Mus musculus: one gene and its partners. The protein of the gene in region 2 interacts with the protein of the main gene of each other region in a pairwise test. Links are inferred from orthologs where the notes say so. Each region holds a gene or a part of one and is shown on either strand. Other genes may lie near its edges. The genes, in order: Pias1, Htt, Ppl, Ptk6, H2ap, Mbd4 and Mrfap1.

Evidence for each region.
Region 1: the proteins of Htt (region 2) and Pias1 interact in binary tests that used the Homo sapiens proteins (3 or more experiments, as listed by UniProt). The link is inferred for Mus musculus from reciprocal best matches to the Homo sapiens genes HTT and PIAS1.
Region 3: the proteins of Htt (region 2) and Ppl interact in binary tests that used the Homo sapiens proteins (3 or more experiments, as listed by UniProt). The link is inferred for Mus musculus from reciprocal best matches to the Homo sapiens genes HTT and PPL.
Region 4: the proteins of Htt (region 2) and Ptk6 interact in binary tests that used the Homo sapiens proteins (3 or more experiments, as listed by UniProt). The link is inferred for Mus musculus from reciprocal best matches to the Homo sapiens genes HTT and PTK6.
Region 5: the proteins of Htt (region 2) and H2ap interact in binary tests that used the Homo sapiens proteins (3 or more experiments, as listed by UniProt). The link is inferred for Mus musculus from reciprocal best matches to the Homo sapiens genes HTT and H2AP.
Region 6: the proteins of Htt (region 2) and Mbd4 interact in binary tests that used the Homo sapiens proteins (3 or more experiments, as listed by UniProt). The link is inferred for Mus musculus from reciprocal best matches to the Homo sapiens genes HTT and MBD4.
Region 7: the proteins of Htt (region 2) and Mrfap1 interact in binary tests that used the Homo sapiens proteins (3 or more experiments, as listed by UniProt). The link is inferred for Mus musculus from reciprocal best matches to the Homo sapiens genes HTT and MRFAP1.

What each region holds. Positions count from the first base shown.
Region 1 is NC_000075.6:62,879,880-62,883,379, forward strand, and holds the end of Pias1 (E3 SUMO-protein ligase PIAS1), read right to left. Parts: intron 2,383-3,500; coding exon 2,089-2,382; 3' UTR 198-2,088; downstream 1-197. UniProt on the Homo sapiens protein: Functions as an E3-type small ubiquitin-like modifier (SUMO) ligase, stabilizing the interaction between UBE2I and the substrate, and as a SUMO-tethering factor. Catalyzes sumoylation of various proteins, such as CEBPB, MRE11, MTA1, PTK2 and PML.
Region 2 is NC_000071.6:34,904,740-34,908,239, reverse strand, and holds part of Htt (huntingtin), read right to left. Parts: intron 2,927-3,500; coding exon 2,812-2,926; intron 2,710-2,811; coding exon 2,496-2,709; intron 2,142-2,495; coding exon 2,036-2,141; intron 1,157-2,035; coding exon 994-1,156; intron 808-993; coding exon 647-807; intron 1-646.
Region 3 is NC_000082.6:5,097,982-5,101,481, forward strand, and holds part of Ppl (periplakin), read right to left. Parts: coding exon 3,393-3,500; intron 2,448-3,392; coding exon 2,350-2,447; intron 2,160-2,349; coding exon 2,002-2,159; intron 73-2,001; coding exon 1-72. UniProt on the Homo sapiens protein: Component of the cornified envelope of keratinocytes. May link the cornified envelope to desmosomes and intermediate filaments. May act as a localization signal in PKB/AKT-mediated signaling.
Region 4 is NC_000068.7:181,197,207-181,199,789, forward strand, and holds part of Ptk6 (protein-tyrosine kinase 6), read right to left. Parts: intron 2,557-2,583; coding exon 2,393-2,556; intron 2,025-2,392; coding exon 1,871-2,024; intron 1,336-1,870; coding exon 1,174-1,335; intron 1-1,173. UniProt on the Homo sapiens protein: Non-receptor tyrosine-protein kinase implicated in the regulation of a variety of signaling pathways that control the differentiation and maintenance of normal epithelia, as well as tumor growth.
Region 5 is NC_000086.7:9,845,633-9,848,000, reverse strand, and holds H2ap (huntingtin-interacting protein M), read right to left. Parts: upstream 1,055-2,368; 5' UTR 971-1,054; coding exon 617-970; 3' UTR 501-616; downstream 1-500.
Region 6 is NC_000072.6:115,850,542-115,854,752, forward strand, and holds the start of Mbd4 (methyl-CpG-binding domain protein 4), read right to left. Parts: upstream 2,801-4,211; 5' UTR 2,670-2,800; coding exon 2,596-2,669; exon of another isoform or gene 2,155-2,595; coding exon of another isoform or gene 2,144-2,154; intron 299-2,143; coding exon 77-298; intron 1-76. Other genes in the region: Ift122 (intraflagellar transport protein 122 homolog), read left to right, coding at 3,128-3,168. UniProt on the Homo sapiens protein: Mismatch-specific DNA N-glycosylase involved in DNA repair. Has thymine glycosylase activity and is specific for G:T mismatches within methylated and unmethylated CpG sites. Can also remove uracil or 5-fluorouracil in G:U mismatches. Has no lyase activity.
Region 7 is NC_000071.6:36,794,367-36,798,236, reverse strand, and holds Mrfap1 (MORF4 family-associated protein 1), read left to right. Parts: upstream 1-1,482; 5' UTR 1,483-1,643; coding exon 1,644-2,021; 3' UTR 2,022-2,034; intron 2,035-2,292; 3' UTR 2,293-3,370; downstream 3,371-3,870.

The DNA of each region.
Region 1 (3,500 bases), on a different chromosome or scaffold from region 2:
TTTACCTCAGTTAAAATAATGTTTCCTATTGCTATGTTAATAGAAACACCTCAAAATTTCAGTGATTTCCACTATAATCCCAATTTAGACAAATTATGGTTATCTGAAGTGAGTCTAAATTAATACAGTAATGAGAGATGGTAGAACCTGTATTCATAACACCAGATGAATTTAAAAACATAACTATTTCTGGTTTTAACTGATAACAAATGTCTTGTTTTATTGCGAATTGTTTTGTGACTCTAACACAGCCGTTTCTGTGTGGAACACACATGCGTAGGGGAAGACGATGATGTTACTCACACGCACTTGTTTATAAATACATATATATATACACACACACACACATATACATATCAACACCAACTTTTTTCAAAAATTCAAGTCGACATTTTAGTAGCAGAGAGACTATAAAATAGATATTATTTTTAGATGCCACGCTGTCATGTGAACCACTTCCTTTATTATACAACTGAAGACACAGTCATCATGACTTCTACCTGGATTAATACCTACCGGTCCTTCTGTTATGGATGCAAGGCTTGAAAACAAGTTTACCACACACAAAGATGGTCCTTCCACAACTCTGAAAACATGAAGGTGGGACATAAAAGCCAGTGCAGGAGCTGGTGATGGTGTGCCCTGGCTCTCTGCAGTTACACCTGCATCCTCCATCAGTTGCCATCTATCTCCCACTGTCAGAGCATGCTTTCTTCTCTGCGGACTCTCAAGTATGAGAAGTATTTTTTCCTTCCTTTGACCCTTAATCACCTCCTGAAACAAATTTTAATATATTTACATATTCTGCTATTGAGAGTAGGTGAGACCAATTGGTTCTTGAATTTAAAAAAAAAAAGGCTTCCTATGTCATGCTTTCACTAAAGGTGAAGGAAAAAAGAACACGGCTAAGAAAGGAAGTATACTCGGAGACAGAAAACCAAAATAACTAAGGTTATTTTTGAGTTTCAACTATTTATCAGATAGATTTGGTATGGATCCACATGTGGGCTGTGCTGTACTGTTAACTTTAGGATAACCGATTCTTTCTTTCCTTCCTTCCTTCCTTCTTTTCTTTCGGTGGAACGGAACGACCTCTGCCAGCTCCACACCCCACGGGGCTACGGGGGTTCTTTCACATCCCATTTTGGTATGAAGATCCTCAAGGAAAACTTGTTACCCTGTTGCCAAAATGCAAGTGCTCACAGCCTTGGATTACATACAGAATACTGGCAATTCAGACTTAGAATCAACAGAAGTGTATTGTCATTCGAGGGCCTGCCCACAGACTGCGCATCCAAGCAGCGTTTGCTCCAGCACTTCTGGGAAACACACTCGTAGAGGGTAGACAGCAGATCACAGAGGATCTGGGATGGAGAACATGCACCTAGGGAGAGTTGAGAAAGATGCTCACACAAGAGTGATAATAACCAAATGCAAACTGAGGAGGAGGGGCGAGTGACGACAGAACAGCACATACAGGTACACAGGCGCTCTTGCGCGCACGCGCGCACGCACTCACGCACACAAGCTCTGTCTTGAAAACAAAGGGTATGCAGTAAGATAGACGAGGCTCATAACTTAAGGCTGGTAAAATCTACGCACACACAAACAGAATCCAAGTCTGTCACTTTTAAAAAATGGAAATCAAAGCTATCCCAAACCCATCCCCACAACAAAGCCCACAATTTAAACCTCATACATGCAATTGTTTCCGTTATTGCAAGAAAGATAATGCCATTGAAGTAAAATAAAACCCAAACCACAGGACAAATGGTGAAGTCTTCAGAATCCAGAAAAAATGAACTGAAGGTTTGTGGGTGCTTGTTTTTTCTTTTTCTTTTTTCTTTTTTTTTTTTTTAAACAAGTGTTTTATCAGACAGGCAGTCTTAGATTTATATACAAAAGTAAAACTGAAAATATAGTTTTGTTCTCTGTACATTTCTTTTAATTTTTTTTTCCCTAAAAAAAAGGAAAAAAAAAACCACGCTTGTATACTTTTCTAAACAGGATAAGGTAAAACAGAGCATAGAGTTCTCTTCTGCCAAGTCATTTAATCTGGGATGGGGTGGGAGCAGCAGGGTGAGAGCGTCAGTCCAATGAGATAATGTCTGGTATGATGCCAAAGATGGACGCTGTGTCTGCGCTGCTCCTGCTGGCCACACCATGGCCATGGCTCTCTCTCAGACTGTTGGAAGACACAAGGCTGCTGTTGCTGCCGCTACTGCTTCCGTTGGTGGCTGGCAGAGATGTGCTCCCTCCTGCACTTAGCTGGTCGAGAAACATCTGCGAGGAGGTATACGGGAAAAACCGGGAGGAGTGCAGGAGGTCCTGGTCATCTGAGACCGCCGCTGCAGCTGCGGCTAGCAGGGAGGTGTTGTAATGCTAGGAGGGACCAGAGACAAAACACTCTGTTACAATCAGATGCACCTCGGCGTACTCTTCTCAGCAGAACAAGGCTCCTCAAGTGACAACACATTCTGTAGTAAACGACTGGTCACTATTACTGAGAGCGCTTTGGCATGGTATCTGAGACTGGAATGACATTTTTGATTGTGTGTGCATGTAGTTTGTATTGCATGCAGTTCTTAGCCCTCTGTTTCTGAGGTGTTCAGAAGCAGTAGGAAGGATACATCCCACATTTCCAATGGCAAGTTCAGCTTGAGAACTGTCTCACAGCTGCTCAGCTGCTCCCAGGCTGGGCTGCAGCTCGGTGCAGCCTGCTTCTGCTCTCAGCACTGTAGGTGCTGGGCAAAGGGTTTGCGCACATGAACATCTCTGAGCTGGGAAGCGCAGGAAGAACTTGCTGTAAAAACCAAGCAATGTCCCACCTGCGTGGGGCACTCTGAGTCGGGTGTGCGGAGCTGCAAGTCTCTCCGGGTCAGGGAGCACTGCGGAGTGGCTGTGAAGGCTGAGGACAGATCTGTGCACTATGTGGGCTTTACCAGCACTCTGTGCTTAGACCATTCTATATTTATTAAAAAAAAAAAATCCCAAAGCTATCTTTCTTTAATTTTACTTTGTTTTAAAACATTCATAACATACAAATTAAACACAATGAGTTCTAACATTTTCACGTGTATATGTCTTTTAACCATAACCACTTCTACTACTTTCTCTTGCTCTTTCTTCCCCTAGCTGGTCTCCTTCCTTTTCCAACAGTCCACTTCAAATGTCAGTGTTGCTTACAGAGCACAGACAACTTACCACTGGCTATATCACTGAAGAAAATGTCTCCCCCATTAACCATTAACTGCCTACAAATCTTAGGCTTCTGACTACTTAATTCTTTATAATTAAACACTTAAAACATGAATACACCATATGGCTATGCAAAAAATTCCTTTCTTCCTATCTATATAGGAGATATAGTTATGTATTTTTCTAAAAAGACAAATTCATCACACACACCCTCCCTCAGGTCTACACAGGTCAGGCAGGGGTTACAATCAGTCTACTAGCCACATCTTGTTTCCTGGAAGGTTTTCAGGACAGGGACCATG
Region 2 (3,500 bases):
ACTTAGGGTGAGGCTGTACTGTCACCACCAAGACAGCTTTGCTGCTAGTAACTCTTGTGGTCTACTGAGAAGGAGGCTGCCAAGAGGAACTCCTGGCATCACTGTTAGGGCGGGAACTGCAGCTTTACTTACGGCTTTCCCCAGGAGGGTGACCACAGCGTAAAGATGAGAGCTAATGAGAAGCAGCATTGAGAAAACCTCAGAGGGACAGATTATGCCAGATGATGGGGCAGCCGCAGGGCCAGTGGCTGGCTGGCCTGAGCTGCCCTGCCTCCCTTTGGACTTCCCTTTCCCTCAGCAGTAAAACTGCCATAAACCCTGGCTGGCAAATGGTTAGACCTTCTGTTTCGTGTCCCTGTCAACATTTTAGGGAAGGGTAAGCATCACCTGTGGGGTTCTTGTTTTTTTGAGACAGGGTTTCTCTGTGTAGCCCTGGCTGTCCTGGAACTCACTCTGTAGACCAGGCTGGCCTGGAACTCAGAAGTCCTCCTGCCTCTGCCTCCCAAGTGCTGGGATTAAAGGCGTGCGCCACCACCACCCACCTGTGAGGTTCTTTAGAGTTTAGGTTTGAAAACATTCAGTGAAACCTGAACTGGATGCTAAGTGAACAAGGAACCTGGCCAAAGTCCCATGGAAGGAAGGATACATCGCAGAAACCCATGGGCTGGTAGATGCGCTAACAAGGAAGCAGGAGAGGCTCCACATGGCCATGGCAACTGGAGTTCTTTGTGTGAAGTTGGACAGGGACAGCATGACCCAGTCCCGGACCATGGATGACTGCCCAGCACTGTGCAGAGTCTGAAAAACCTAGGGACAAGAGAGCCCTGAGCACAGGGTCAGACTGTGGGGTGGGGTGAGGGGACTGGGGCCACAGCTGCCACTCATCTTAAAGGATGAGTCTAGCCCTGATGACAGGCCTACGGCAAGTGTGGGATTGGCTCCCCCTTCCTCCTCCTGCTCTGTCCTTACCCCACAAGGCAAGTACACCCTCACCTTGTAAACTACAGTGGCCATGAACTGTGGGTATGGCTGCTGATTGGACAGGAACTCTCCAATGACTTTGTTCATGACATCTTGAGGTGGAAAGAAGTCATCTAGGAACTGAGGCAGGATCCTTGCCACAACCCTGGCTTCACAGGGAAATCCCTTGCGGATCCTGAAATGAGAGGAGCTGATTTGAGCCTCACCCTGGCTCTTGGCCTCTCAACCTTGCCCATAGAGCCATCATGGACTAAGGCTCAGAGGTCCTTGACCCACAGGAATGTTCCAAGTGGGGCTCAGACCACAACTAGGGTATGAGTTTTAAAAGCCAAAGATGATATCCAGGCTGTTCTTTTGCTGCCCTGATTGATCTGGGCACAAGGTGATCTTTCCCACTCTGGGGAGAATAATGCAGTTGTGGGACAGCCTTGTAAAGGAATAGCAGCAAAAGGGTGGGGTGGTGATATTACTGAAGAGACTCTCCACATCAAAATGTACCAAAACTTTTCACTGTTGTATGTCCTAATACCCAGAGTACTACTGTCAATCAGCAACTTTTCTTCCCTTCAAAATTGGACACCCATCTATGCTCCTGTTGATTCTTCTCTCAACATCCAACACTTTACCCTTACCTCAGCAGCATCCTTAAAGACCGCTGACCTATGATTATTCCACTAATGCCACACAACTGTGGTATACAGCTGAGAAGTACACAAGTGACTCAGACCCTTAGCCATGCCTCCTTCCTGTGGATATGGCCTGAGCCCCACCACAGCACTTGGCTATACTCCAGGAGTATCTATTTCCTCAGCAGTGGCCTATGGGATCCACCAGGGCAGTGGTTTGGTTGTACACCTGCATGGGTCCAGTTGTCTCTGAGTCTGGTTTGCAGGTGGTGCTCTGTGAATATGCATGCACTGGAAAAATGGCTGCAAAGATACATTTTAGAGTTCAAGAGAATGAACAAATACACACAGAAGAACTGCTCTGGCTGTGGCTCTAGGGCAGTCAATGACTACTGAGGTTAGAGGTAGAGATTTGCTGCATGTCTTACCTATCAAAGAGAACAGACACTCGCTCCATAGCTACAATCACAGACTCGCTGTCAGGTGTAGCAGGGCTGGGGTCAGAAGCTCTGCCTGGACTGGCTTTTTCCTTTCCTGAAACAAAAACACTAAGTAGGCTATACAGAACAGAAGCCCAAGAGTTTTGAAATCTGCACTCAGTGGCTCAAACAGGACTTTACCAGATAGGCAGAGATCCTTCAAAAACAGGTGATTACAGTCCCTAGCAAGGCAGGACCCAGCCCAACTTTCTTCCAACTCTCAGGGATGCAGTGGCCAGAGGCAGCTCTGATATCAATACTTGGTGATATCATGTGAGCTACTCTCTTGCCTTGAGCCCTAAATTTCTGGAAAGGTGACCAGGATGTCTTAGGGCCACACTAAGACTGCCACACCATGAGGCCTGGCTTGAGTCTTTGGGTGAGTCTATGACCCTTACAACTCACTCACCTGTGTACATGCAGGTGAGCATCAGGCCTAGGGCTGCCATGGCCCTGTGTGGGCTTTGTACATTCACTCTGTCCACACTTAGCTTGACCAAGGACTCTGTGTCTAGCCGAGATAGCTGCTCAGACAGCAGGAGCCGCTCCAGACCCCGGAGGGCACAGTGGTAAATGATGGAGGGGGTGGACTCCTCACTTCCAGACAGCATTACTCCACACATCTAGACAAGAAGAAAGGCTTATTCTTATCTTCCCCAAAAGCACAATGACCCACTGGTACAGTTAATATGGTAACCTGCCTATGTTCAATAGAGCCCTCTCACCTGTATCACAGATGCTGAAAATTCTGGTCCCACATCCAGAGGGTAGTTTTCCATCAGGTAGAAAGCAGTGGCACACATTACCAGCACATGCTGCTGGCTGTGAATGTTCACGCAGCTAAGAATGGGAGACACATAATCATACCCAGTCACATACAGCAGCCCCTGCCTGTCTGCAGAGGGGACAGTTTTAAAGCATTATCCACCCACATCTATTGAGTACAGAGCTCTGGGGTCATGTCAGCTTCTCCAGGCCTTTTCACCTGGATGGCCTAGGGATTACACTCCAGAGCTGCATGGCCTTAGCTTAGCATGCCATCTCCAATTCTGTACCTGTCCATAGACCACTTCACTCTCCCTGAACATTCTTTATGTTCTTAGTCAGGGTTCTTCAGGGTGTCTGTTTGCTCCATGCATTTGCTAACTTGTAACACTCTAACTCATGGGATCTCCAGTTGGTGCCTCTTTGCCCAATGGCAGCAGCAGGGGCCTGGCTGGAATATGAGTTAGACCAATGGCACCATAAACAAAGGAGCCACACTCTATCTCTTCTACCCCCTTTCAGATCTGTTCAAATGACACTGCCACTCCTAGGAACTGGCCACTGTTTTGTACAGGACCCTCTGCCCAAAGCATTGAGCAAGGTCTATGTGATTATCTGATTTGGACTTGTAAGCTCCTCCTACCTGTCT
Region 3 (3,500 bases), on a different chromosome or scaffold from region 2:
CACAAAGGCTTCACACTCGGCTGTGCACTGCGTCTTCTCTGGCTCAATCTGTAGCAGCTCATTGGTAATGTTCTACAGAGATCAAGATTGCCCGGGTCAACCACAGCCCTACAGCTCTCTTCCGTCAAGGATGTGCCCTGGGACAGTGCGAACGGCTGAGAAGGCTCACCTCCCTGGGGTGTCCATCTGGAGCCCAATCACCAGTCTGGCAGTCTGTGGGTTGTGTGTGTGTGTATGTGCACAAACATGGGTGGGTATATGTATGAGAAACCAGAGGTCACCCTCAGTATTCCTTGGGAGCCATCTATTTTATTTTGAGTGGAAGGGAGAGGTGGAGTTGGTGGGAGTGTAAATGTGGAGGTCAGAGGTCAGTGTCAGTTCTCTCTAGATCACGGTCTTGTCTTCTAAGACAGGTCTCTCACTGAGAACAGTGCTTACCAATTAGCAAGTAGGCTTTATCCAAAGTCAGATTTATAGACCAGTGCAACCATGCTGGGTTTTAGTTTTTTTTTTTAAGCCTGGATGCTAGGGATCTGAACTCAGTCCTTATGGTTGTGTGTGAGCACTTTATAAACTGAGCCTCTCTTGAGCCCTGCCTTGTCTGTTTGATTTGCAGACAGCATCTCTTAGTAGGAACTGGGGCTTGTCAATTAGGCTGGCCAGCTGGCAAGCCTCACCGATCTCCTTGTGATCCTGTCTCCTCAGCAGTGGAAGTAATTATGGGGGTGTCCCGCCATGCGCAGCTTTTGATGTGAGTGCTGGGGACTGAGCTGAGGTCCTCCTTGCCTGTGCGCTATGTAAAGCAAGCACTCCACTGACCAAGCTCTCTTCTCCGTCCCAGGGTCTGTGTTTTTAATGAGGATCTGGTACAAGTGGACTGCTAAAGTCCGTAACTCAGACAACAGCAGGTTGCCCCTGGACACAGGATACTCTATATACCTTTCATGAAAGAGTTCATGAAATCTTGAGCAACCTGCCAGGTAGATACTGTGATATGCCCATCCTGTGACTCCACAGAACTTGGAGTCTTGTGATACTGTGGGCCTATGCCCCTGGACCTCTACCCCTCACTCCTGTGCCAGGCACCAGAGACCACTGGATTTTTCTGACTCTAATTTTCTCTAAAACAGGGATGGCAGGACCTACCACAGAGAGCTGTCAGGCAGAAGGATATGAGAGTAGGTAGTGGTCAATGGAGACGTGGGCCTCTTACCAGGTTCAGCAGCTCAAATGAGGACCAGCCCACGCCTGATCCAGGCAGTGGTGGCACACGCCTTTAATCCCAGCACTTGGGAGGCAGAGGTAGGCAGATCTCTGACTTAGAGACCAGCCTGGTTTACAGAGTGAGTTCCAGGACAGCCAGGGTCACAGAGAGAAACCCTGTCTCAGAAAAGAGGAGGAGGAGGAGAAATAAGAGGAAGAAGAGGAAGGGGAAGAGGAGAAAGAAGGAAGATAGGGAAGGAGGAGAGAGAGAGGAGAGAGGGAGAGGGGGGGGAGAGGGAGAGGGAGAGGGAGAGGGGGAGGGGGAGGGGGAGGGGGAGGGGGAGGGGGAGGGGGAGGGGGAGGGGGAGAGGGAGAGGGAGAGGGAGAGGGAGAGGGAGAGGGAGAGGGAGAGGGAGAGGGAGAGGGAGAGGGAGAGGGAGAGGGAGAGGGAGAGGGAGGAGACCCTGGCTTGTCACAGGCAGGGCAAGCAGAAGTGGGCTGGATCTGCCCTTCCACAGCCAATCCACCTCTTGCCCACAGCCTCACTCAGCAGATACTGCTAGGACTCTAGTTCCTGCTATCATTATTATGGCTGTTATACTAGGCTGAAAAGCCACTCAGAAACAGAGCCAGATCACATCTGGGATATGCCAGAGCTCCAGGACAGGGCATCTGTTTGGGCCCCGACCCTTGGGACAGCTCTCCATAATTACCTCTATAATTATCCAACACCTGTTTTGAATGTCCCAAGGCCCCACAGAGGTGGAACCTTGAGCAGGAGCCCCAGCCTGGCAATACCTTGAGACCCTTGGCCCGCTCCGCACTATCCTCAATTGCCCGTCCCTGCTCAAGTGGTGGCCGTAGGATCCCTGTGATAGCCTTTTCCTGCCGGTCCAGGTCACTGGCCACTTTGTCCAAGCCAGCCAGCAGCTGTCGTCCCTGAAGATCAGAGGCATCTGTCGTAGGGAGGACAAATCAGGGATGACAGTGAAGGAGCACGAGGCCCCAAAAGCCAACCAGGTCCTTGGGCTGGCTTGGCCTCTCTCTCTCAGCCCTCTAGCAGATACTTGTCACCCATGCACAGCACAGTCTACTTCATCCCCTCTCCCATGTCCCTGGCCCTGTACAGGACACCCTGGTACCCACCTCCAGGGTTCTCCGTCCTTAGCACCTCATGCCGCTGCTGGAGTGCATGTTTGCTCCCAGTCGCCTTCTGCCTCACACTTCGGTACTGGCTGCCCAGGCTGTGAGAGCAAGAATGTGCTGGGGACCCTGGTCTCATACCAGCCTCCTAGCAGGTTCCCATCCTGGGTTGGGCAACAGCCCATGGGAGCCAAGTAGCTCCTTGGAGGGTTTTGAAGAGTCAAAAATACTATTGGGGGCGGGGGGGACGATGCAGGGGGTAACAAAATGGCTCAGTGGGTAAAGGTGCTTGTCACCAAGCTGAAGGCCTGAATTTGATCCCCAGAACCTACATGGTAGAAGGAAAGAACAATCTCTAGCAAGTTGTCCTCTGACCTCCACATATGTGCTGTCACATGCACATGCATTCATTCCCTCCTCCCTAACAAGTAATGAAATAAAGGTACGTCATGAGTTACACCAACAAGGTTTGGGAAGAATCTCTTCTGCCTCTGTCCCCTCTCCTTTACCTTCCGTTGCAAGCCCCGCTACCTAGAAGCATCTGTCACTAGCAGGGACGGTGCGCAGCGGGTGTTTGATAGATGGTAGGAAGAAGCCCAGGGACCCCCTTGAGTCTACTCATTGAGCAAAGGGTCCTCACATGACTGAGCGATTTGCCACCTGACACTGACGTCAAGGGGCAAACCCACAGATCTTAGCAAAATGAAGTTCTGAAAGATCCTGAAAACAGAGAGAAAGGGTGGGGGACCTACTGAGCACAAAATAAGGGCCAGAATTGGTGAAGCAGGACACAGGCGCCACAGGTGGGATGGTTAAGACTTGGCAAAGGCTCAGAGGCACCAAGAGAACACACCTGCTGCACTGGCCCCTAGCCAGACATCCAATTCAGCAAGCCAACCTAGCCTGCCACTCTTCCTGCAGCCTTTAAGGGAGGCCAGAATGAGAGGCATGTGTCGCATCCTACCCGCCACTAAGAGGGTTTAAACAAGAGAGGCTGCGGAGCCCAGGCGTGGGTCCACTCTCTTCTCCCTCCTCTGTGTCTGTACCTGTCAGCAAGAGCCAAGGCCTCGGGGTCGGTGGGGGGAATGATGAAGCAGACGGCTGGGGCAGCCAGCTTCTTCCCAGTGCTGTCTGTCAGCTCCCAGCTCTCCCCG
Region 4 (2,583 bases), on a different chromosome or scaffold from region 2:
GCAGCTGGCTTGGCTTAATTGCAAAATGGGAAGGCCTAGACCTTCTGCAGCTATGTACCTAGAGACAAAGAGCATATTCTTTGTCTGACACCCTTTCTGGGAATCATAAAGCAATCTAAGGTCAAGAGCATTGCTGCAAGATATTCTTGGTATGTAGCCATTGAACACTCTAGATAATGCGCAGCCAGCAAGTACTACACCTACAAGGGGCATGAGTTTCATCTCTGGAGACTTCTTCCTGCAGAAACTGCTTATGAGATCAAGCTCTTTATGAGAAACACAAAGAAAGAGAGAGAATTTAGAATTTAGAGAGAAGCTGGTGGGCTAAGGCAAGTCACTAGCAGGCTACACAAGCCTATAGTAAAGTAACCTCAGCTAACTGTGAGGATAGAAATTGTGAGGGAGAGTTCTTTTCTGTACTTTTTCAAATTTTATGATCAGCAATTGGTAGATTTTTTTTGTACTTAATAAGACCATTTACTTGTCTCTTTTGTTATGTATGTATGTATGATGTGTGTGTGTATGTATGTGGAAGTCAGAGGACAACATCGGGTGTTAGTCTTCACCAGTGACGTGTTCCAGGATGGTTTTGTGGTTTGCTACTGAGCCAGATAAAACAAGAATTCTCCCATTGCCTCCCATCTCACCGTAGAAGCCTAGGGGTAACAGAAGCCCGCTCCTGTGCTTGCCTTTACACTAACTAGTTCTGAGGATTCAGACTCAGGTAACAGAAGCCCACTCCTGTGCTTGCCTTTACACTAACTAGTTCTGGGGACTCAGACTCAGGTCCTCGTGCCTGCCTAGCAAGCACTTCACCCACTGAGCCATCTCTCCCACCATTGGTTTTTTTTTTTTTTTTTTAACGATTTGTATGTATGAGGCAATGTAGCATGTGTGATGTAATGCATGTACTCATTATTAAGGGTGTGTGCACATGTATACATGTGTACATGTGCATGTCTTTCCTTGATTGTTTTATATCTTTGGTTTTGGGGGGTTTGGGGAGGGAAAGGAGAAAGGTTTGAGACAGGGTTTCTCTGTGTAGCCCTGGCTGTCTTGGAGCTTGCTCTGTAGACCAGGCTGGCCTCAAGCTCAGAGAGCAGGCTGTCTGTGCCTCCAAATGCTGCCTCCAGCACTTTCACCCGGGAAAGGAGACTGGAGCTTTGCACGTACCACGCAGTAGCTGCAGCAGGTTCCCCTTGGGCATGAGCTCCGTGATGATGTAGACCGGGTCCCCTGCAGTCGCCACAGCGTACAGTGACAGGATGTGCTTGTGCCGCAGCTTCTTCATGGCCTGAATCTCAGCCTGGAAGGTGTGCTGGTGCAGGAGATTGTCTGAGAGACATCAACCTCAGTGAGTATAGCCCTCGACCTGTGCCCCAAACAGGATCCTGGCCCAGACCTCCTGAAGCAAGTCAGGCAATGTGGTCAGCCTAGGAAGACAAAGGCTGGCCTCCAAGCTACCACACTAAAGCCTTCCCCACCCCGAGCCCTCAGTGCCCCAAGACTGATGTGTCCATTTGCCCTCCTGTGCCCAACTTGGTCACAATTGCCAAAGTCAGCATTTCCCAGCCAGATGTTTTCAAAGTCCTGGCTGACCTGATTCTTGAGGTTTCAGGTATAAACCTGAGGGTGACGTTGGGATTTGAGATGAAACTCACATTTCCAGTGACTTGTTTAAAAACAAAAACAAAAAACAAAACAAAACAAAACCAGGTACAATTGAAAGAAGTTACTCCCACCATGATGCTGTGGGTGCCCAGCAAGTGTGTTGGGATACCCTCAGTGGGGGAAGACTGGAAGTGCCTACTAGAAGGACTAGTGGGGAAGCAGCACGTGATCATGTTGAGTTAGTCCTGGGCCTGCTCACCTCTAGAGATCACCTTCACAGCCACATGGACCTGGCCTTTCCAGAGCGCTTCAAAGACCTCCCCAAAGTAGCCGGCCCCCAGCTTCTTACAGAGTGTGAACTCCTCCCTCGGCCTCTCCCAGTCATCCCAGTGGGGCAAGGGCTCAGTTTTGTGCTGGAGAGACAGAAAGGGCAATAGGAATGGGTAGGAATGGGGGCTGGGTCGCCCAGCTTGTCTTCAGGAAGGGCTTGCTCCAACCCCTCATGAGGAGCTCTATTTATTATTTATTATTTATTATCTATTTTTTTAAATTTAGAGATAGATCCAGTATCTGGATATCCTCATAAAATTGCTGCTGTCTTCATCCATCAATGTTAGGGACTGGTCCTCAGCAGGAGCACATCTGAGCTCTGGTGAGCCAGTGTAATAAGAGCAATAGCCAAGGAGATTGCCCTGTCCTGTGCCCCCATCCCCTCCCCCCCATATTATACCCTACCAGTAGGACCCTGGGCAACTATGTCACAGAGGAGCCAGTGGCCTACCTTCCAGCAGGGCATGGACAGCTGTAGGCCATGAGACAGGCTCTGGGTCTTATGGTAGTCCACAAGCTCAGACAGATTGGAGAAGGATACCGCCTCATTCAGGTGCAGCCGGCCCTCGTTGTTCTTCCAGATCCTGTAATGTCGCACGGCCTGAGCATCCCGGACTGGGGTGGGTGGCCGGCGGAAGGAGA
Region 5 (2,368 bases), on a different chromosome or scaffold from region 2:
ATTTTACCTCTTCTAAAGTGGATGCTTCCTTCTGGCTTCACCATCACACCATCATCAACTGAATGCTCTGTCCCTTATGCCCACTCATGTGGCTCATGCTGACTGTCTGTACCCCTTCACCGATACCCATTTCCTTCTCCTCTGAGACCTTCCCTCCCATGAAAGAAGACTTCCATGCAAATTTTCTGCTCATCAGTAGTTTCTTCTAAGTTACCATACTGAAAATATAACTTGCCAATGAGGTTACAGCCAACTTCTGATCTTCTCTGAGGCTTCTTTTGTACTCAGAGCCAACAAGGGAGCCTTCTCTGCCCTCCCCTCCACCCAATTTCTCCCACCAGGGTCACTACCCAAGCCACCCCCCACCCCTGAGAAGTGCTCCCTTAATTCAAACAAGCACTCCTTAAGCATAACCTCCATCTTCCATTCTTTCTTTAGTATCTTGTGGATAACCTCCAACCCAGGAGAAACAAATGAAAAAAGTCAGAACAATTAGCTTTCATTTAAACATTTTATTAGTAGTCATGGACACCAGGGGAGCCTCCTCTGCTATTAGCCTTCATGGTTCTAGCTGAGTCTGTGAGGCTTTCCACCCTTGGGTTGTGTACCCCATTCTTTAGCCATTCCTTCTGGGTCCAGGCATCTCGTCAAACAGAGAGAAAGGCGCATTCTTGAAGCCTCGAGAGGGTTCGCGGTCGTTGTCTCTCTGTCTCTCTCTATCTTGTGAGATATTTTGCTGGTTGTTGATGTTGGCTTCGGAGCCCACCACCTCCAGGATGTAGTCGGTGAGGTAATCAAGCATGGCAAGAAGGAAATCTGAAGTTGTGGACCCTATGCAGGGGGTATATTGCTCCTCCTGCAGTATACGGTACACATAATTCACAGGAACCTGTACCTCAGGCCTAGAAGAAGGATCTTCTATCTGGTTGTTGTCGCTGCAAGGCTTTTCTTGGCTCTTCTTCTCCGACATGATGGTTTGATGGATTGGGCTCCGGTAAGCTCTGCCTGGTTCACCAGCAGGACTGGCTCTCTGAAGACACTGTTCAGTCAGGCCCATTGCACCCCCAGCTTCTGCACCTCATTGGTCAGGAGCTACCTTTATGACATCTTAGGCTTTGAGATGTCATTGGTGCCTGGTGGGTTATGGGTTCTGACTAGGCCTCAGAGCCTAGAAATATCTATCACAGCAATGTGGCCACCCTACCTCGATTTTGAGGAAACTGTAGCTCTCCTCAGTTTACACTTGAATTAACATTGTAGAAATAATGTTTTACTGGAAACTGTATGTCGTCACAACCATTCTTTCAGTAATTATGGGGCAGTAATAAGCATGTCAAATACATTTCCAGGTAGAGGTTTGACTGTCCTCTTCAAGCAGTGTTGAGACCCATTTTGATTCAATTTACTTATTTAAATCGGCTTGGTTAACAATCCTGTACACCTTTGAACATGTATTCATTCAGTATCTACATGAGTTGTATCTGATCTTCAAAATATCTATTTTTTTGAAGAGGAAATGCTCAGTGTGCTTCTGGTACATAGATGTTGGTATCTGTACTTTGTGTGCCATTTGAGTCAGGATGTAGCTTTCTTGGATTAGTTGGGTTAAAGCCAAGCCCTAGTATAGATATTTAATTTCAATTTTTCTTTCTATTAATATCTTGTTTCTGCTTTTTGGTTGTATTTTAGTTCACTTGTACCCAATAACTTTCCTATTCCAAGAGAAAGAAAGTATAATGAATCTTCAATCTAGTTAAATGTTAAAACCCAACTATGTAAAACTTTATTGGATATCAGGGCAGAATAATAACCTCATGAGATGTGAGACCATTTACCCTGGCTCTATTGATTCCATGGTCTTATCTATAGCCAGATCTCTTCCCTCTAGACTCGCCAATAGTTTCTTTGAATCATGTATCCTTTGAGTGATGGTAACACAAGGTTATGAGTGAGTAATCTTATACACTGTTGTTCTTCACAAAGTTTAAGAATCCCACAGACTTTTGTCATTTCATCTTCTGTCACCTTTGATCTAATCTGACATTATTTCTGCTGATATAGCATTTCCCAAAGCTTATAGATCTATATAACTCATTTCATCAAACATTTGATTTTTTTCATGGGTCCTTAATTGTAAAGGATAGTCATGCTTCATCCACAGACCCAGAGAGGCTTAAGTAACAAGGAGAGCTCTAGGGGTAAAGCCTGGATCTCCCTGGGAAGGGGTGATAGAATAGATTATGTGGGTATACTGGAGGTGGGTAGTGAAGGAACAGGAGAGACCAGTTTGGGGAGGAAGCAATGGAGGGAGAGAGTACAGGGAGAGACTACTGGAACTTGGGGGTAGGCTTGAGGGTCAATGTGGAAA
Region 6 (4,211 bases), on a different chromosome or scaffold from region 2:
CAGATTCTTGCTATCCTTTCCCATTACGGACAAAAATCACTTGGCGGTATTGTTATTTTCCTTCCTAAATGCTTACCTGATAAAGTATACATCAAATTTTCCTGCAGTTTTCCCAGATAACCTTTGCTTCACAACTCTTTCCCATCCACACGGGACAGGCTTGTGGCCTTCTGTCGCTGTAGTACTAGACAGAGTAGAAGCAGTGGGCTCTTGGAGAAGGGAGCTGCGCTCACTGCTTATCACCAGGTCCTTTCCATCTTCTCCCACTCCTCCCAGTCCAACAGCAATATCTTCCTTGCTGGAAAAACAAAACCCAAGTGATGAACTTAAAATTGCTTTTACCCTGCTTCCTCAGTTTCTGCCCACAGCAGTATGAGACTGTATAAAATACAAATTAAAGTCAGTGAGCTAGTCTTGTGCCATGAGGATTGTCCAGCTCTAACAACTTCTTGTCCTTCAACATGAGTGTCCTCCTCCACCTTGATTTTCAAACAGGGTTTCTCTGTGTAGTCTTGGCTGTCCTGGAACTCACTCCATAGACCAGGTTGGCCTCCAACTCACAGAAATTTGCTTGCTTCTGCCTCCCAGATGTTGGGAAGAAAGGCATATACCATCACTGCCTAGCTCAACATGGGTTTTTAAATGTTAGGACTCTCCACACAGTATACCTGCTAAACTTTTTCTTAATTCACACTATAGGGATTCAATAAAGGATTCTGATAACAGTTGTTGGAAGTCTGAGATATGAGCCAGTAACTGAACTTTTCATCTGAGATCAGACAAACTGCTCAAATGAATCACCCCCTCTTTCCTGCAAACATGTAAGGGGAACACTTCACATATGTGTGCATTTTTGAGAACCAACAACTACCACTTTTGTAAAATAGCATGGCCCTCCAAAAGCTACATAATTTCTGGTAAGAACTTCCAGCTCTCTTTCAGTCTTGATTCTCATCACTTTGTGAGGTTAAAATGTACTCTCATTGGGTGGTGAAGAGATGGCTTAGCTGTTAAGAACACGAGCTACTCTTGCAGAGGTCCTGAGTTCTATTCCCAGCAACCACACGATGGCTCACAATCTTCTAACTGTAATCACATGGGACCTGATGCTCTCTTCTGGTATGCAAGACAAAGCACCCACACCCACACCCCATGTATATAAAACATATATATAACATAAATAAATAAATCTCTAAGAATTATTTTACTCTTATTGACAAATTGTGTGATAACAAAATCAAATCACCTGCAGAGTGGACCCCGAAACCTAGGCCCACCTAATACTTCTCCCATACTGTTATGGGGGGGGGATAGTTCCCACAAAACCTCCAGTGCAGTGGATCTCTTCCCCCTTTAAAGAATTTATTTATTCTTATTTATGAGCACCATGAAGGTGCTGAGGCCTGAATGGACTTAGATCCCCTGGAGCCAAGTTATAGATGGATGTGAGCCTCTGCTGTGGGTGCTGGGAACCAAACCCAGGTCCTACAGAAGAGCAGTAAGTGCTTTAAACAATTGAACTATCTCTCCAGTGTTTAGTACAGTGTATTTTAATCACTAAACTATACATTTTAAAAGTGAGGGGTTGGAGAGATAGCTCAGTGGTTAAGAGCACATATTCCAGGAGACTCCGTACCCACATCAGGCAGCTTATAACACCCTGCCTGCAACTCCAGCGCCAGTGAACCTGACACCTCCTCTGGTCTCCACCAACACCTACGTATATAGACAAACACATAAAGAAAAAAAAGTGGGTCTCTAGAGAGACCTTCTAACCCAACCTACTTTCTACAAATAGGGAAATAGGGACACTAAGCAAGACCTAGAGACTAACCACAATTAGAACCATGGCATTCTTAGATGGAATTTGGCGTTAGGTATCAGCTAGAAGGATCTTATAGGGAGACAAGGTAACTGAAACCTGAGGGAATCCCTACAAAACTGTTAGGTTAACAAAATGGGTCAAAACCCCAGCTCGCTACTTATTATTAGCTGATCTTCCAAAGAGAAAGTCACTTTGAGCTCAAAATCTCCGTTCTCCATCTGTAAAAAGGAAGTAGCATTAAAAAAAAAAAAGTTTTGTTGTTTGCTTTTGAGCCGGGAATCTTATGTACCATAGGCTAGCTTTGAACCCACGACGTACCAGAGACTCATCTTCAACTTCTGATCCTCCTGCCTCCACAGGCAGACGCCGCCAAGCCCGGATATTCGGTGCTGTCGCTCGAACCCTCGGCTTTGTGTTTACTACGTAAACACTACCAACTTAGTTAAATGCCCAGCCCTTAAAAGTGTTTGAGCGCCCAAGTTTTGGGACATGCAAATACGTGCATCATTTTAGCCCGGACACAACAGTAGCTTCCTCTGTGACTTGTCATAGGGCTATTTCTGAGGGTCCCTTCCGGCCCAGGCTAACCTGCTTGCATCACAAAACCTCCCTTGTCCTCCAAGCTCCCCAGTCAGTTCGGCCAAGGAATCGGGTACACCCTAGTCTTGTTCCCACAGGGCGACAGCTCTAGGTGCCACCTTGTGTTAAAGGTTAGGAAGACCCACACAAGAGCGACTCCTCTGAGGCCCGAGAGAGGTTTAATAACTTGCCAGCGATCCCAAGGCGGGTCTGGAACTAGGCTCTCTCCACGGACTCTGTTGTCCCCAAGGTTTGGGCTCTCCATCCCTGCTGCTTTGGTCCACTGGGGCGCAGCTGCAGCTCCAGGCCGAGAGGTGGAGTAAAACACAACTCAAACCACTGAGCCGAATCCAAACACCGACGTGAAAGTCAATCAACCCACACAGCAGCCTTCCCGCCACCGCTTCAGCTACAGATGCCACAGCCAGGGTCCCGCCAATCAAACCCTCTGTCGTCAAGACTCCCCGCCCCACCCACCTTTCCGGACCAATCGCTCGTGTCATACTTACGCTTCCGCCTCCTGCGTCCCTACGCGCCCGGCGCTTCGGCGGAGGAGGTGGGCTCCCTTTTGTACATGCGCACTTGGAGCTTTGGGAAACTCATGCGCGGTTCATTGCGCATGTGCGTTGCTAAGGGTAGCGCAGGTAGCTGAAGTGGTTTGTGGAAAGAAGCCTGTTGCTGCCGAGGCTGGGAGGAGGGGCCCGAAGCGTGAGGGAAACGGCGATGAGGGCCGTGTTGACGTGGAGAGACAAAGCGGAGCAGTGGTGAGGAGCGGGAACTTCGGGGATGGCGGGGAGGCGGCAGGAACCGGCGCATTGCCATGGCAACGGGCCTGCGGCCTGGACCGAGGACTCTGATTCCGTGCCTTCAACTTCCCAATGGAAGAGAAGCTGAGATTCCTGGAGGGGCATAGGGATCATCTGAGGGAGGCTGGAGCAGTTTATACGTCATCATCATCCAATTTCACTTCTCTCTTCTCAAAATTCCTCACCCACCAGTGTTTTCTCAGCTTCCTAACCATCCTCAAAGTGCCCACACTTTTGTTTATCTGACATTCTTTAAATTTCTCCTGTTTTTGTTGGTTTGTTTTTGAGATAGAGCCTCACTTTAAAGCTCTGGTTGGTCTGGAATGCACTATGTTGACCAAGCTGGCGTTGAACTCACAAAGATACATATGCTTCTAGCTCCCCAGTGCCGGGATTAAAAATTTTCGAGCAGGAACAAACAAAACGGTGTGAGTAACTTGCATCTCGGTTCTGAGCATTTCCACCTGAGCTGAGATCTACTGTGTCTGAAACAGGACATTTCCATGTACGGTCAGAGAAACATGTAAGATGCGATCAAGTCAAGACATCTCTTGATTGGGAAGTTTGAGGAGTATTTTCAAAATTAGTACTTAAGAGTGAGCTTAATTTAAAGCTTAATTTTAAATACTGAGGATTAAGGCTTAGTATTTAAGAGCACTTTGGATAAGTTCCAGGACAGTCAAGTCTACACATAGAAACCCTGTCTTTAAAAACAAAAACAAACGAACAAAAAAGAAAAAGAAAAAAATATATAGTAAAAAAAAATATTGGGCTGGAGAGATGGCTCAGAGGTTGAGAGAACTGTCTGCTCTTCAAGCGGTTCTGAGTTCAAGTCTCAGCAACCACATGATGGCTCACAACCATCTATAATGACATCTGGTGCCCTCTTCTGGCCAGCAGGTGTATATGCAGGAAGAATGCTGTATACATGATAAATAAATCTTTAAAAAAAAATCAAAAAGTGTTTTAAAAAGAGAGAATGACAATAGAATGACTCTGTC
Region 7 (3,870 bases), about 1.9 Mb from region 2:
CAGACAGACAGAGGACAGACAACACAGGGAGCCTGAAACACACAGTTCGGATCTGGACTCACTCTTAGTTAAACAACTCCAAGAAGAATTGCTTCTGTTTCTTTCCTTAATGTGACACTGATACATTATTGGTAACTCAGAGGGAATCACTAATGGGTACAATCCATGTGCAGGGTTTTGGGTGGATTCATGGGTTCAACTAATTTGCTGGGTTGTACAGTAGAAGCTGTCTTAGCCATAGAGATCACATTCCCACCAATTAAGACGGGAGGGAGGGGCAGAGTGAGAGGGTGAGGGAGGGGAAGGGAGAGTAGTAGCGAGAGGGAGAGAAAGAAGAGAATTTCCTGGGATCAATGTATACCAGCCTTTCCCCATGTCAGGGTTCTGCAGTCTAAGTATCCTGATGCAGTGTGCAACAGTATCCCATTGTCCTCTGAACCATTTGCTTATTCATGTTCTTACCCTGGATTATTTTTAAACAAAAGCCACTGAGTGTAGAGTCCAATTAAAGATATGCACTTTATATATGCCTATGGTTGGTTTTTGCAAAATGGTTTCACGACTTGTGGTTAGAAAACCAGTGAGATACATAGTTTAGATTCCTGAGAAAGTACTGTCTGATCGTAGACTAAGAATTCGGCATCTCCCCTTAAAGTTCAGTGTTGGTTGAGTAACAGTTACGCAAATGTAGTCGTCTGAGCCAACTTCTGTCCTTTCCACAGCAAGTGATCACCAACTGAATGTGACCTGGGGCCTCAGAAAGCATCAGACAATAGTTTCACCTTAGGAAGCCAGGAGCTCTGTCAGGTAAAAACACACCCAGCCACTCCGTCAATCAAGATATGATAATTCACTTAAACTAACCAAAGGGGCGGAGCTATGAGCAGGATGACTGTCCACACATGGCTTTCCAAGATTCCTCTTTCCCCAGTTTCGAAAAACTGTTTTTGTTGTTGTTGTTGTTGTTTGTTTGGTGGTTTTGATTTGTTTTGAAACAGGGTCTATGTACTGAACTCACTATGTACACCAGGATGACCTCAAACTCAAGGATCGGTCTGCCTGCCGCCTCTACCTCCCAGGTGCTGGAATTAAAGGCGGGCTCTTTTTCTTTTTTAAAAGTAAACTTGTCGGGTGCGGTGGCTCACACCTGCGACACGGGAAGCTACGGCAAGAGGACTGCCTAGAGTTCAAGATCAGTTTAAGCCAAATAATTGAGTTCCAGGCCAGCCTTGGCTACAGCGTGAGGTCCTGTTTCAAAAAGTAAATAAATAAAATCGGAATAAGATACAGGAAGGGACGAACTTCGCATCACCCAGAGCAGCTGCAAAAGCTGCGAAAGGGAGGCCGACCTAATGTCAGCGCGCGGCCGCAGAGGCGCTCGCCCCGCCCCTTCGTGGACGCGAGCGCGCCCGCCCCTTTCAGCGCGGCCGTAAAGAGGGGGCGCGGAGGTGTCGTGAAAGGGGTCGCAAAGCGCCGAGCGCTGGTTGACGGTTGAGACTCCATTTTGTTCGTCGCTCGCCCGCTCGGCAGTCACTCGTCTCCGTGGCTTCTCCGAGGCGGAAAGTTGGACCGGCGGCGGAAGTTTTGAGGACTCGGCCCGAGCTCCGTCCGTGAGGGTCGTGCAGACGAGCAGAGCAGCGGCGATGCGGCCCCTGGACGCGGTGGAGCTGGCGGAGCCCGAGGAGGTGGAGGTGCTGGAGCCCGAGGAGGACTTCGAGCAGTTTCTGCTGCCCGTCATCCACGAGATGCGCGAGGACATCGCGTCGCTGACGCGCGAGCGCGGGCGCGCGCCGGCGCGCAACCGGGGCAAGCTGTGGGAGATGGACAATATGCTGATCCAGATCAAGACGCAGGTCGAGGCCTCCGAGGAGAGCGCCCTCAACCACCTGCAGGGTGCCGGCGGCGCCGAGCCCCGCGGCCCCCGGGCGGAGAAGGCCGACGAGAAGGCGCAGGAGATGGCGAAGATGGCCGAGATGCTGGTGCAGCTCGTGCGGCGGATAGAGAAGAGCGAGTCTTCGTGAGGAGCCGGCCGCGGTAAGGGCGGGAGCCTGGCGGGGCGTGGGCGACGGTGGGGGAGGAGGCTGGCTTGTCGCCTCGGGAGTAAACTAGGCCCCCCCTGGGGAAGGAGTAATAGCAAATCGTCGGCGGGGAGACCGTGGAAGTTTCCAGATGGTGCTGGAGAGCATGGGGCCCTAAGTGAGACAGCGTCCAGAAGGGGGCCGGGTATTTGCTTTGCTGTCCGGACAGCGTGATTAACCTCTCGGTGATGAATCTCTCCCGCCCGTGCCTTAGGTTTCCAGCCAATGGATTCTGGTTGAGTGATGGCGATTGGCTGACATGACACCCTGGAGAAGCTGAAACCAGAGAGCCTTTTGTTTTCCTTTTTTTTTTTTTTTATCTCCTTCTTATTTTTTTTTCTTTTCCCCTCTGTCTTCCCTCTGTTTCTCACTGACACTACGTTTCTGCTATGGTCTGCGGTTGACGACCTCGATATGAGTTTTTGATTATTCGGTGGTTCCTTTTTTTTGTTTGTTTGGGGGAAATAACTTTGATTTGGAAAATGCGCTCACATACGGGAATTAGGGCCTAGATTGTAAGCCCTGTGGCAGTTGAATAACGTTCATTCCTGGCCTTTGGTTGTTGTTCCTAAATTTTGAGGTGCTTTGCTCTTTCTTGGGTGACCTGATAGCTCCCTGAACTTTGAATCTCTGTGACACTTGAGACTCAGAGTTGAAGCTCACCGCCTCTGAAAGTTCTGAAGGAGCTGTGTTAATTCTCGAAGACTCCATGCAGCAATGGCAGAAGAGACCAGACTTCATCCGGGACAGTGGATGGGCCTTACATGGCTAGGACTGATGACCTGGGAGAAGGGTCGGAGGATAGTATTGTTTCTATTGGGGGACTTTAATTTCTGTGTGAGACCAAAGGAGGAGAGATGTATTTTGTGCAAAATTTAAATTTTATGTGCTACACTATCTATTGTAACCTGCCTGGTGAGTTTGTTGGGACAGCCTAACTCATTTCTAAAAGAAATGGAACCTCGGATGGGAGAAGAGGTCTTGTTAGTCTGTACAAGTTGGTATCCCCATATATTCGAGGAGATCCTGGCCATAAAATGAAAGATCCTTGCAATACCCTGTGTGGCCTAGGAAGGAAAACCTGCAATGGACCCAAAACTTAAAAGAAGAGGCGTCTTAAAGGTTCATATGTAGTCGAACTATAAATGTATGAGTGGCAGACCTGATAAGCGTTTGAGGTCAAAACCCTTACCATGTTGAAAACAAAATCTTACATGTTAATAAAAGTATTCGTTTGCTTGAAAAGATCAGCCCGGAGAGTTACTAAGAAATATTAAGTGAAGTCTTCCTTCAGTGGCCTGTGTTTAGTTTAAATGAACATTCTCCAGTTTTGGGAGTCTGGGTAAGCAGAAGGGGATTTCGACTGCTGTAGGAAACGTGAGAATAGGAAAGTCTTGATTCCTAGTAGCAAGTCCACAGTCTTAGCCTCTGAGACCAGTCCTTTTACTTGCCTTTTACTTGACTCCTGTTCTTTACCAGTCTTGATGATACAACAGCAACAATGTATTGACTCCCTTCAGACAAGAAGGGCTGGGTCCCCAACTGCTGGGATTGACCCTGTGTGGCCATCATCTCATTCCTAGGTGGCCAAAGTCTAGGGCCCTCCCTTTTAAGGACACCCCACCCTAGACATCTTAGAATTCTTGTGTCTGCTGAGGGAACTGCAGCCCAGCCTAACTTCTGACTGCTCTGCATGTTCCTATCCGGGAGTGACCATTGAACCTCACGTGTATGGTTCCTTCTTGGTACTGCTGAGGCACCAGCTTCTGGGCTCTTAACAGATGCAATTGCC